Rattus norvegicus: one gene and its partner. The protein of the gene in region 1 purifies or fractionates together with the protein of each later gene. This does not show direct contact. Links are inferred from orthologs where the notes say so. Each region holds a gene or a part of one and is shown in the gene's direction. Other genes may lie near its edges.

Region 1 (4,074 bases):
TTGGCCCTGAATCTGCACCTAGGCCAGGTGGGCAATGGTGGCCTGCTCTGTAGGGCAAGCGCCAGGTCTCAGGGGTCTAGCCTCCTCCCCTCCAGACACTCTAGAGGACTCTGGGGTATTTGCTACCCCTTGAAGTCCTCAGTAGGCCTTTCTGGAGAATCAGTTCTAGCTCTGGATGCCCTCATTCTCCAGTAAGAAACCAGAGTCCCTTTAACCCACTCTCTCCCATCCAACATCCTCTGGACTGGACTGGGGAGGTGTCTGGGGGCCCAAAGGCTAGCTGAAACAGTACCTCCGAAGGGGGAGCAGCCTTGGTGTCCCTCACCCTAAGCTTGTGCCTAATACCTTGGACTCTAGTCCACTTTCCCTGCTTACCTCAGTGACTAGCCTCTCCCAAAGGAGGCTGAAGCTGCTCTCCTGTCACAGCAAGACTTACTGAGAACACAGCAAGGCTAAAAGATCAACACTCCCAAGGCCCCGTGCATGCTCCAAATTCCTCAAGGTAGGAGTCAGTAGGAAGAGGCAGTTTGGTAAAAGAAGTGAGCACACTCCCCTCCCGCCGCAGCCGCCCTGCCTCCCTGGCTCTTGTAGGATGCTGGAAGCGCCTGGATGACTAAGGACGGGAGGAAGGAAGTAGGAAAGGGGATTGGGGGTGGGGGCTTAGGAACACAAGAAGGAGGCAAGGGAATAAGTACTGAAAAGGGAGAAGGAGGAAAGAAGTGTTGAAAAGTGAGAGAGGGAAGAAGAGGAAGGAGGAGAGGAAAGAAAGAAGAACTAGAGGGAAGGGTGGCAGAAGCCCTCACTTGACAGAGGCTCCAAGGAGCAAGCGCAGCCAACCAGCCTCAGTGCTCCCATTAGAAAGGTGGACAGGACAGGAGGCAACTCACCCCCAGCCGAATTATCCAGCTCCGCCTTGTGGGGTGCTGACCTTCCGGCCCCAAAGGCGCGCTGGGAGGGGCGCCTCCCCCAACCCCCCCGCAATTATCAGAACAACCCCCATCTTCTCCTTAATAAAGGGCCGCGACGTCCTCGCGCTCCCGACCCCCCTAAGTCTCTCCTCCAACTGCCTTGTCCCTAAATAAAACATCTGGCCAGCAAGGTGGCCTTCACTCTGGATAGGTGTCCCTGGCTCCGGAGGTGACCGCTGTGGCGGGGCTCCGCGCATCAGCTCCACCTGCGCGGTGGCTGCGCGGCCGGGGGCGGAGAGGCGTGCAGCGGAGGGAGGGGCCTGCGACACGGCCCCGCCACGGCGCAGCCCGGCTCAGCGCCGCGCGCGTCCCCTCGCCGCCGCCACCGCCAGGCGCCCGGACGCAGCGCGAACGGAGCGGCCGGGATGTGCGCCCGGGCCCCGGCCCGCCCCACGCTGCGGCCGCCGCCTGCCCGCCGCACGCTCGCCTGAGCGCGGCGCCCACCCGCCGGTCCCCGACCACCTGACCGCGATGCCCGCCCTCCCGGGCCCCGGCGGCCCGAGACCCTGCTAGGCTGCGGCGGCATGGCCCGCGCGCCCGGCGCGACCTCTGCGGATTGCATCGGTGTGCGGCGGCGGGGCATGCCCAGGGCACCGGGCGCGGCCTTCAATGGGCGAGGACACGGACACGCGGAAAATTAACCACAGCTTCCTGCGGGACCACAGCTATGTGACAGAAGGTAACGTACGTGTTGTCTGAGACCCCCTCCGGCCGGCCGCGGCGTGGGGATGCCGTCGCACCGAATGCCCTCCGAAGGTTTGGACCGCGCGCTGTGTGTCGTGTCCCCCCCCCCCCCCCCACCCCGACCCCGGGCCGGGAGGGAGGGAACCCAGGGGCTTCGGCCACTGCCCAGCGCCCTCCTCCGTGCCGCCCTCGGGAACGCAGCTGTCCTTCCCTCGCCGGGTGGCACTGGATCGGGCCCTGACTATCATTTACAAAGCCCAAGGCTGCAGCAAATCTGGTGTGGAAATCTCCAGGACCTGGAAAGGCTTAAAAATCCTTCATTTGCCCTTTCAGCCGGGCCAAAGCTCGCAGAAATTTCTAGATTGCCCACTCCCTGGAGAGGGACCCAGGAGGGAAAAAATTTCATTGCCAGATCCTCTAGGGTTCAGCTGCCCTGGCACCTCCCCGGCCTCCAGAGGCAGGTCCCCTGCGTGGGAGGGGGAAAGAGGCTCGTAGGGTCTACTGTTTTATTCCCGGGTAGTGTTACTGAGAAGGAGCTGGGCCAGATATTCGTGGTTTTCCGGAAAAGTGGGGCATGTTACCCCAAAGAGGCTCTGCGTTTAAAACCCCCTAAGTTGGCCCTGTGCGTCAGCCCCCACCAAAGGCTGGTGGGATGCAGAGGATCGGTGTCCTTTGCTAATGTGACAGTAACTTCCGGAGTCCCCAGCCCCTGACTGGCCACAGGAACGGTGGGGACAGCTCCAGCGCGCAGCCGGGGGCCGGAGAAGTGAATCTGCTGCAGTGAGGGAGTGCCAGACCTGGCCACAGCAACCCGCCGGCATGCAGGTGCTGGAAACCTCCCCGGGCAGTGTAGGAGCCTCTTCCCCGGGGCTGCGAGCCTGGTGGGGAGGGTGTCTAGGGTTTAAGCAGGTGGCTGACCCGGTGGGAGGGGCCCTGGCACTGAGTCCTGGGGGCCGGCGCGCGTGGGTGCCTGCTCCAACGAACCTGCGTGGGCATGGCCTCCCCAGTGCCGAGCTCCGCCGGAAATGAGGCGGGCGCGGCGACTCCCGGCGGGCGCGCGGACCCCAGAGGCAGAGGCTAGGTGTGCGACCCGGGCGTGCAGATGCTGATGCTGAGAGCGGGGCTCCGCGCGCCGAGAACCGCTGAGTCACACGTTGCCGCGGGGTGTGCGGGGAGAGGGGGTAGGGCTGCCAGGCTCGGGCTGGGTGGCGGCGCTGCCCTTACCGGGCTTTGGGAGGCTCCTGGCGCAGAACTCAGCCCTTTGTCGCCCGCTGGGTGATGCGGAGGAGGGTCGCGCTTCGCGAAGATGATTATCTGCTTACAGCCTGCCTAGCAGCAGAAGGCAGCCTGCGTGGCAGGTCGGCTGCGGGGCTTCTTGGCAGGGAGTCCTGTGCAGGGCCAGTGTTGGTCTGGCTTTCTGGAGGAAAGCCTCAGTTTTCTCATCTGCACACTGGGAACCAGCGGGCCTCAGCGTTTATGTGTGCCAAACACAAAATGCATAGTGCCCACCTCACAGGCAGGGACAGCTCAAAGGGTTGTTCCGGTCCGTATCCTTCTTCCTCTTCCTTAATAAACCCACCTCAGCAAGGTTCACAGGAGGAAGTACCTTCATGGTTCAGTGGCTGCTAGTGGCTGCTACTGCCATCCGCCAAACCTTAAGCTTTCATCGCTGGGGTTGGATGGAGGTCCCTTGCCCTCCTTCATCCCATGTTGTAGCAGAGATCCCTGTGACTTGTGGGGAAGCCTTTTTTCATATGCCTCACTTTCCCTATTTGTACAATGGGAGGAAACAAAGCCCCCTTCCCTGCCTACCTTCGACCTGTAGAGGTGATTGACAACTGAAATGTCTTGAGCACCTACTGTGCCCTAATGCTTCACATAGGGCCTGGTGGAAGGTCTCTTCATGAGCCCTGGGCAGTGGGCAGTGTGTGTAGGACACAGGACTCAGATGTTTCTACCCCTCAGGGATGTAGAAGAGTAACGTTTATAGAGTGAAACTCCCTTAGAATCTAACTGAAAGGAGTAGGGAATTTAAACGAAGGTGTCCCATACACACACATACACACACACACACACACACACACACACACACACACACCAGTCACACTATAGGATCCCCGAGTTCAAGGTCACAGATTTTGTCTCCTGGCCTACAAAATTATGTTCAGCCTCCCTGGATGAGTCACTGGGCTTCATTTGTCTTCTCTGTAAAGGGAGAAGTCACAGTGGCCTCTAGCTCAGGATTGTTGAGATGGCAGTAGCCCTGAGAGTGTCAAATGCTCTCAGATAGGATCGGGCCTCCTGGAGGTATTTGATAAATGTCACCAGAGTCATCGTGTCCTAGAGACTTGCTTTGCACAAGACCCACGTGTATGCCTTCCCATTCCCACCTGGAGGTAGGCCCCTTGCTCACTTAGATGCT
Region 2 (4,085 bases), on another chromosome or scaffold:
TGTTTTAAGGGTGAGTGGTCAGGATCTAGATGCAGACTTGGATTTCAATATTCAATAAATATTTGTAAAAAAATTTTTTTAAGGAGAGAAAATGGAGAAGAACCTCATGTTATTACTGACCATACGTTGTGGTTGCTACATGTTATAAATGTTTTCTCTCCTTCTCTATGTGGACTGAGAATTCCTGGAAGGGGGGAACCCTGGGCTTCAGTTATAGCAGGGATAATGGCCAAAGCTAGCACCCCAAAGCATCATATCTGAGCGCATCCTAGTTGTTAACCAGCTCTAATCAAGCCTACCTCACTAGTGTTTCTTCTACATAAATACATTGGTTAGGAAAACCCTACTGTAGGATGAGGTAAACTTTTCACACTAATAGACTCTGTGTAAGCTGTGGTTAATTTTATTATTTAGATTACCTCTGGGAGCTGTCATTTATCTTCTGTATAATAAAGAAGGTATATACATGATTTTTCCTTTTTAGATTTGAAACTAAAGGGCCATGAGGCAATTTACTGAGTCATCAGGCACCAGTACCATCTTGTCGTGGTCTTTTTGACAGGAATTTGTAAGACTCAGTGGATGGACTACATTGACTAACCAGGAAAATTTTAGGAACTTTTGCCCATACTTGACACAAAACAAATTTACATAATCAATATGGGGAACCAGAACTTCTTTATTTGTATTTTTAGAACTTACTAGATTTCCCCAAGAATAGATCAATTACTTACTGTGCATTTTTTTAAACAGACAAAACCATTGTGGAAAAGTAGGTAACATCTTCATTTAATCTATACTGACAACTGAGAATCTGAGGAATGGAATGAAATATGCCAGCTTTGGACGAGAACCAATAACTTTGTGCCTGAATTCTGTTCCTTGATAAAGCAGAAGCTTGGAAATTTCTATAAACTCCCCTTTTTGTTTGTAGTCAAATGCTGAGTGTAACGCTAATGGGAAAGGGACTAACTCCAAAATAATATCTCAAATATATCGTGGTAGTTGTCATATATTGCCATCGCTTCCGTTTCTGCCAAGAATGACCAGAAGTTACAGCTGTACCAGCTGTAAGCAGCTGGAAATTGCTCATGAAAGGAACCGAACTTTATTGTGCAGTAGATTCCAACACACTAAACGGATGAAAGCCCCAATAGTTCGGTTCCTTACAGTGTGCCAATGTACTTCACAAAGCGGAATTCCTAACTACAAACAGTTCTGTGTGCTTCGTTCTACCACATCACCCGCTCAGAACACAAATCCCACCGCACTTGATCAAAGGGTCGCCTGCGATCTCCCCCTTTAAGAGCTTGCTCCGCGGGACTAACGTTTGAACCGGCCCCGGGGCTCCTCCTCTGCCTCTGATTGGCCGGGGGTGGCGCACGAGGCGCATCGGCCCGCCCAGAACGGTTGGCGGCGCTTTGTGATTGGCGTTCGCGGAGCATATATAAACCGCGGTGTGGCCCCGCACCGCTCAGTTTAGAGGCTGGCCCAGAACGGGTCTGTTGACTGAGGAGAAAAGGCGGAGGGAACTACGCATCACTAGATCTTTTCTCCACCGAGCTTTCACACGCTGAGGGTACAACCACAGAGGCGAACCTGTTCCTGCCTCTCGCGCCTCTCTCAGCTTTAGAAGGCAAGCAGGCGTTCACCCCGTCGTCTGGAAGAGGAGGCAGGATGGAGTTCAAGCTGGAGGCTCACCGTATCGTCAGCATCTCCCTGGGCAAGATCTACAACTCGCGGGTCCAGCGCGGCGGCATCAAGCTGCACAAGAACCTCTTGGTGTCGTTAGTGCTGCGCAGCGCCCGCCAAGTCTACTTGAGTGACCCCTGCCCTGGCCTCTACCTGGCCGGCCCTGCGGGGACCCCGGCGGTACCGCCGCCACAGCAGCCCGGAGAGCCGGTAGCGGGGCCACCATCTGGCTGGGGAGAGCCGCCCCCACCGGTCGCCCGCGCCGCCTGGCCGGAGCCCGAGCCGCAGCCTCAGCCTCAGCCTCAGCGTCCCTCGGTGTGCCACACGCCGGGAGCGGGAAGCCCAGAACCGGTGGCCGCGGTGTCCGGAGCGGAGGACGCTCTACGGGGCGGAGAGGAGGACTCGGCGGCAGCTGCTTGGGGCCGCGTGGAACGTCCGCGCGTGGCGCCTTCTGGAGGCAGCTCGGACGCGTGCTCCGAGGGGCCCCGGGCACTGCGCCGCCCGTGTGGCTGTCCGTCGGCCGTGGAGGAGCGGTCCTCAGAGAACGGGTCCCCGGCGCCAGCCGCCCCGTGTCCCAGGAAGCGTGGCGCAGCGGGAGTGGGTGGCGGCCGCGCGGGCTGCTCCGCGCCCGGCTCTACCCCTCTCAAGAAGCCGCGCCGGAACTCCGAGGAGCAGCCGGTCACCGACGAGGAGGACACCGACGAGGAGATGGAAACCGGGAACGTGGCAAACCTCATCAGCATCTTCGGGTCTAGCTTCTCGGGACTCTTACGGAAAAGCCCTGCGGCCGGGCGGGAGGAAGAGGAGGCGGAGGAGGGCGGCCCGGAAGCCTCCGAGCCCGGGCAGATCTGCTGCGACAAGCCGGTTCTGAGAGACATGAGCCCCTGGAGCACAGCCATCGTGGCCTTCTGATCCCCCGGGACCTGAGCGGCTGGAGCTTGAGCAGCGGGAGTCCCCGAAGTGCGGCCGGGGCCTTTCCCGGCCGCGAGGACGAGCCGAGACCGTAGGCGCTGGGCGCGTAAGGGAGACTGGTTGCTGCCGGGCAGCACATCGCCCCGGAAGGGGCAGCCCGGCTGGGCCGTGGCTCTCGAGTCTCATCCTGAGACCTAGAGTGGGAGGCTTATTGGAAGAGGACGATCGATCGTTAACTTTTGTATCAGTGTGTGTCCATGTGTAAGTTTGTCTTGTGTTGAGACGATTCTGTGGTTCTGGAATGCACCACCCCTTCCCCGTTCTCGAGACTTTGGGGGTGCAAACAGGGACTTTCCTCTGCCAGCAGCACAGAAAAGGAAGCTGCTGAAAGGTTCGAGACAGGGGAGTTCCCCGATCGATCTTGGGGAAGAGAGGGACTTTACACACAACCTCTCTCCTGAAAGCTAGGACCACACCGGGGCGCGGAGTGGCGTTTTCTCACAGGATTTCCCCAGACTAGAGGGAGTTCGTCTGGAGTAGAGACTTGTATTATTTTTCTTCCTCCCCATCTTTCTCTGGCACAGAAGAAGCGCTTCTACCCTGTGATTACTCTGGGAAAGCAGAACATTAAGGGACCTTCAATTCCCCACAGGGGAAAAAAAGCTTGCTGAACTTCACAGAAGAGTTCAAGCTTGGAAATATGGAGTTTATAGAGAAAAAGATATATTTTTAAAAGCTCTAGCTCAGAACTTACTACACAGTGCTTTTAAAAAGTGTTTAATGAAACAAAGTTTACAGACGAGCTCTAAGTGGAAGGACCTTATGGTTTTGTAGATACGGTGACTCCAGTCTTTGTTGTATAAAGGTTGGGGGAGCTGATAAGGTTTTTGTACAGTATTTTCTCCTCCTCTGTATTGATTTTTGTATAAAAATGTAACTTTACGTGTCTAACACGTATTAAATATTTTGAAGCAACTCCACTACCTGCTTGTATGTATGTAATCACTTGTCTGGGTTTCCAACCAGGTGGGGGGAGGGGCAGCCAGGCTGGGAAATGGAAGGTGTGGTTCTTCGTATCAGCCAGTCACAGGCTAGGGACATTGTTGGCTGACTAGAATAAGTATCAAGAGAGACACGTTTAAGGGTTTGGTTTGGTTTTTTTGTTTTCACGCACATCCCCATTCACAGGACTAATAGATACTGGAATTAATGACTGGCAGTTTGAAACCTGCCACTGAAACAGCTTTCTCTGTAGTCATGGTTTTCTATAGTTTGACTTGATGGAATCTTTAATATTAAATAATACTAAACGCCAAGTTTTACAGCCTTTCCAATATCAAGTATTTCCACCAAAACTTTGTTTCCTAAACAGATCTGGTAATCTATTAGACCATGGGTCACTTTGTAGATTTGAATTGGGGTGGGAGTGGGGTTTAGAAAGCAACTTTAGAGGTCTTAGTAGGACCAGTCATGAAGAAACC

What was found. The genes of interacting proteins can lie anywhere in the genome.
Region 2: the proteins of Ppp2r2c (region 1) and Ier5 purify together in Homo sapiens (affinity purification with mass spectrometry; 3 studies listed by BioGRID and IntAct, counting the BioPlex papers as one, with this or other methods). This does not show direct contact. The link is inferred for Rattus norvegicus from reciprocal best matches to the Homo sapiens genes PPP2R2C and IER5.

Annotation. Positions count from the first base shown.
Region 1 is NC_086032.1:78,153,405-78,157,478, reverse strand, and holds the start of Ppp2r2c (serine/threonine-protein phosphatase 2A 55 kDa regulatory subunit B gamma isoform), read left to right. Parts: upstream 1-1,266; 5' UTR 1,267-1,577; coding exon 1,578-1,647; exon of another isoform or gene 1,648-1,696; coding exon of another isoform or gene 1,697-1,724; intron 1,725-2,450; exon of another isoform or gene 2,451-2,477; intron 2,478-4,074. UniProt on the Homo sapiens protein: The B regulatory subunit might modulate substrate selectivity and catalytic activity, and might also direct the localization of the catalytic enzyme to a particular subcellular compartment.
Region 2 is NC_086031.1:69,819,949-69,824,033, reverse strand, and holds Ier5 (immediate early response gene 5 protein), read left to right. Parts: upstream 1-1,491; 5' UTR 1,492-1,677; coding exon 1,678-2,604; 3' UTR 2,605-3,584; downstream 3,585-4,085. UniProt on the Homo sapiens protein: Plays a role as a transcription factor. Mediates positive transcriptional regulation of several chaperone genes during the heat shock response in a HSF1-dependent manner. Mediates negative transcriptional regulation of CDC25B expression.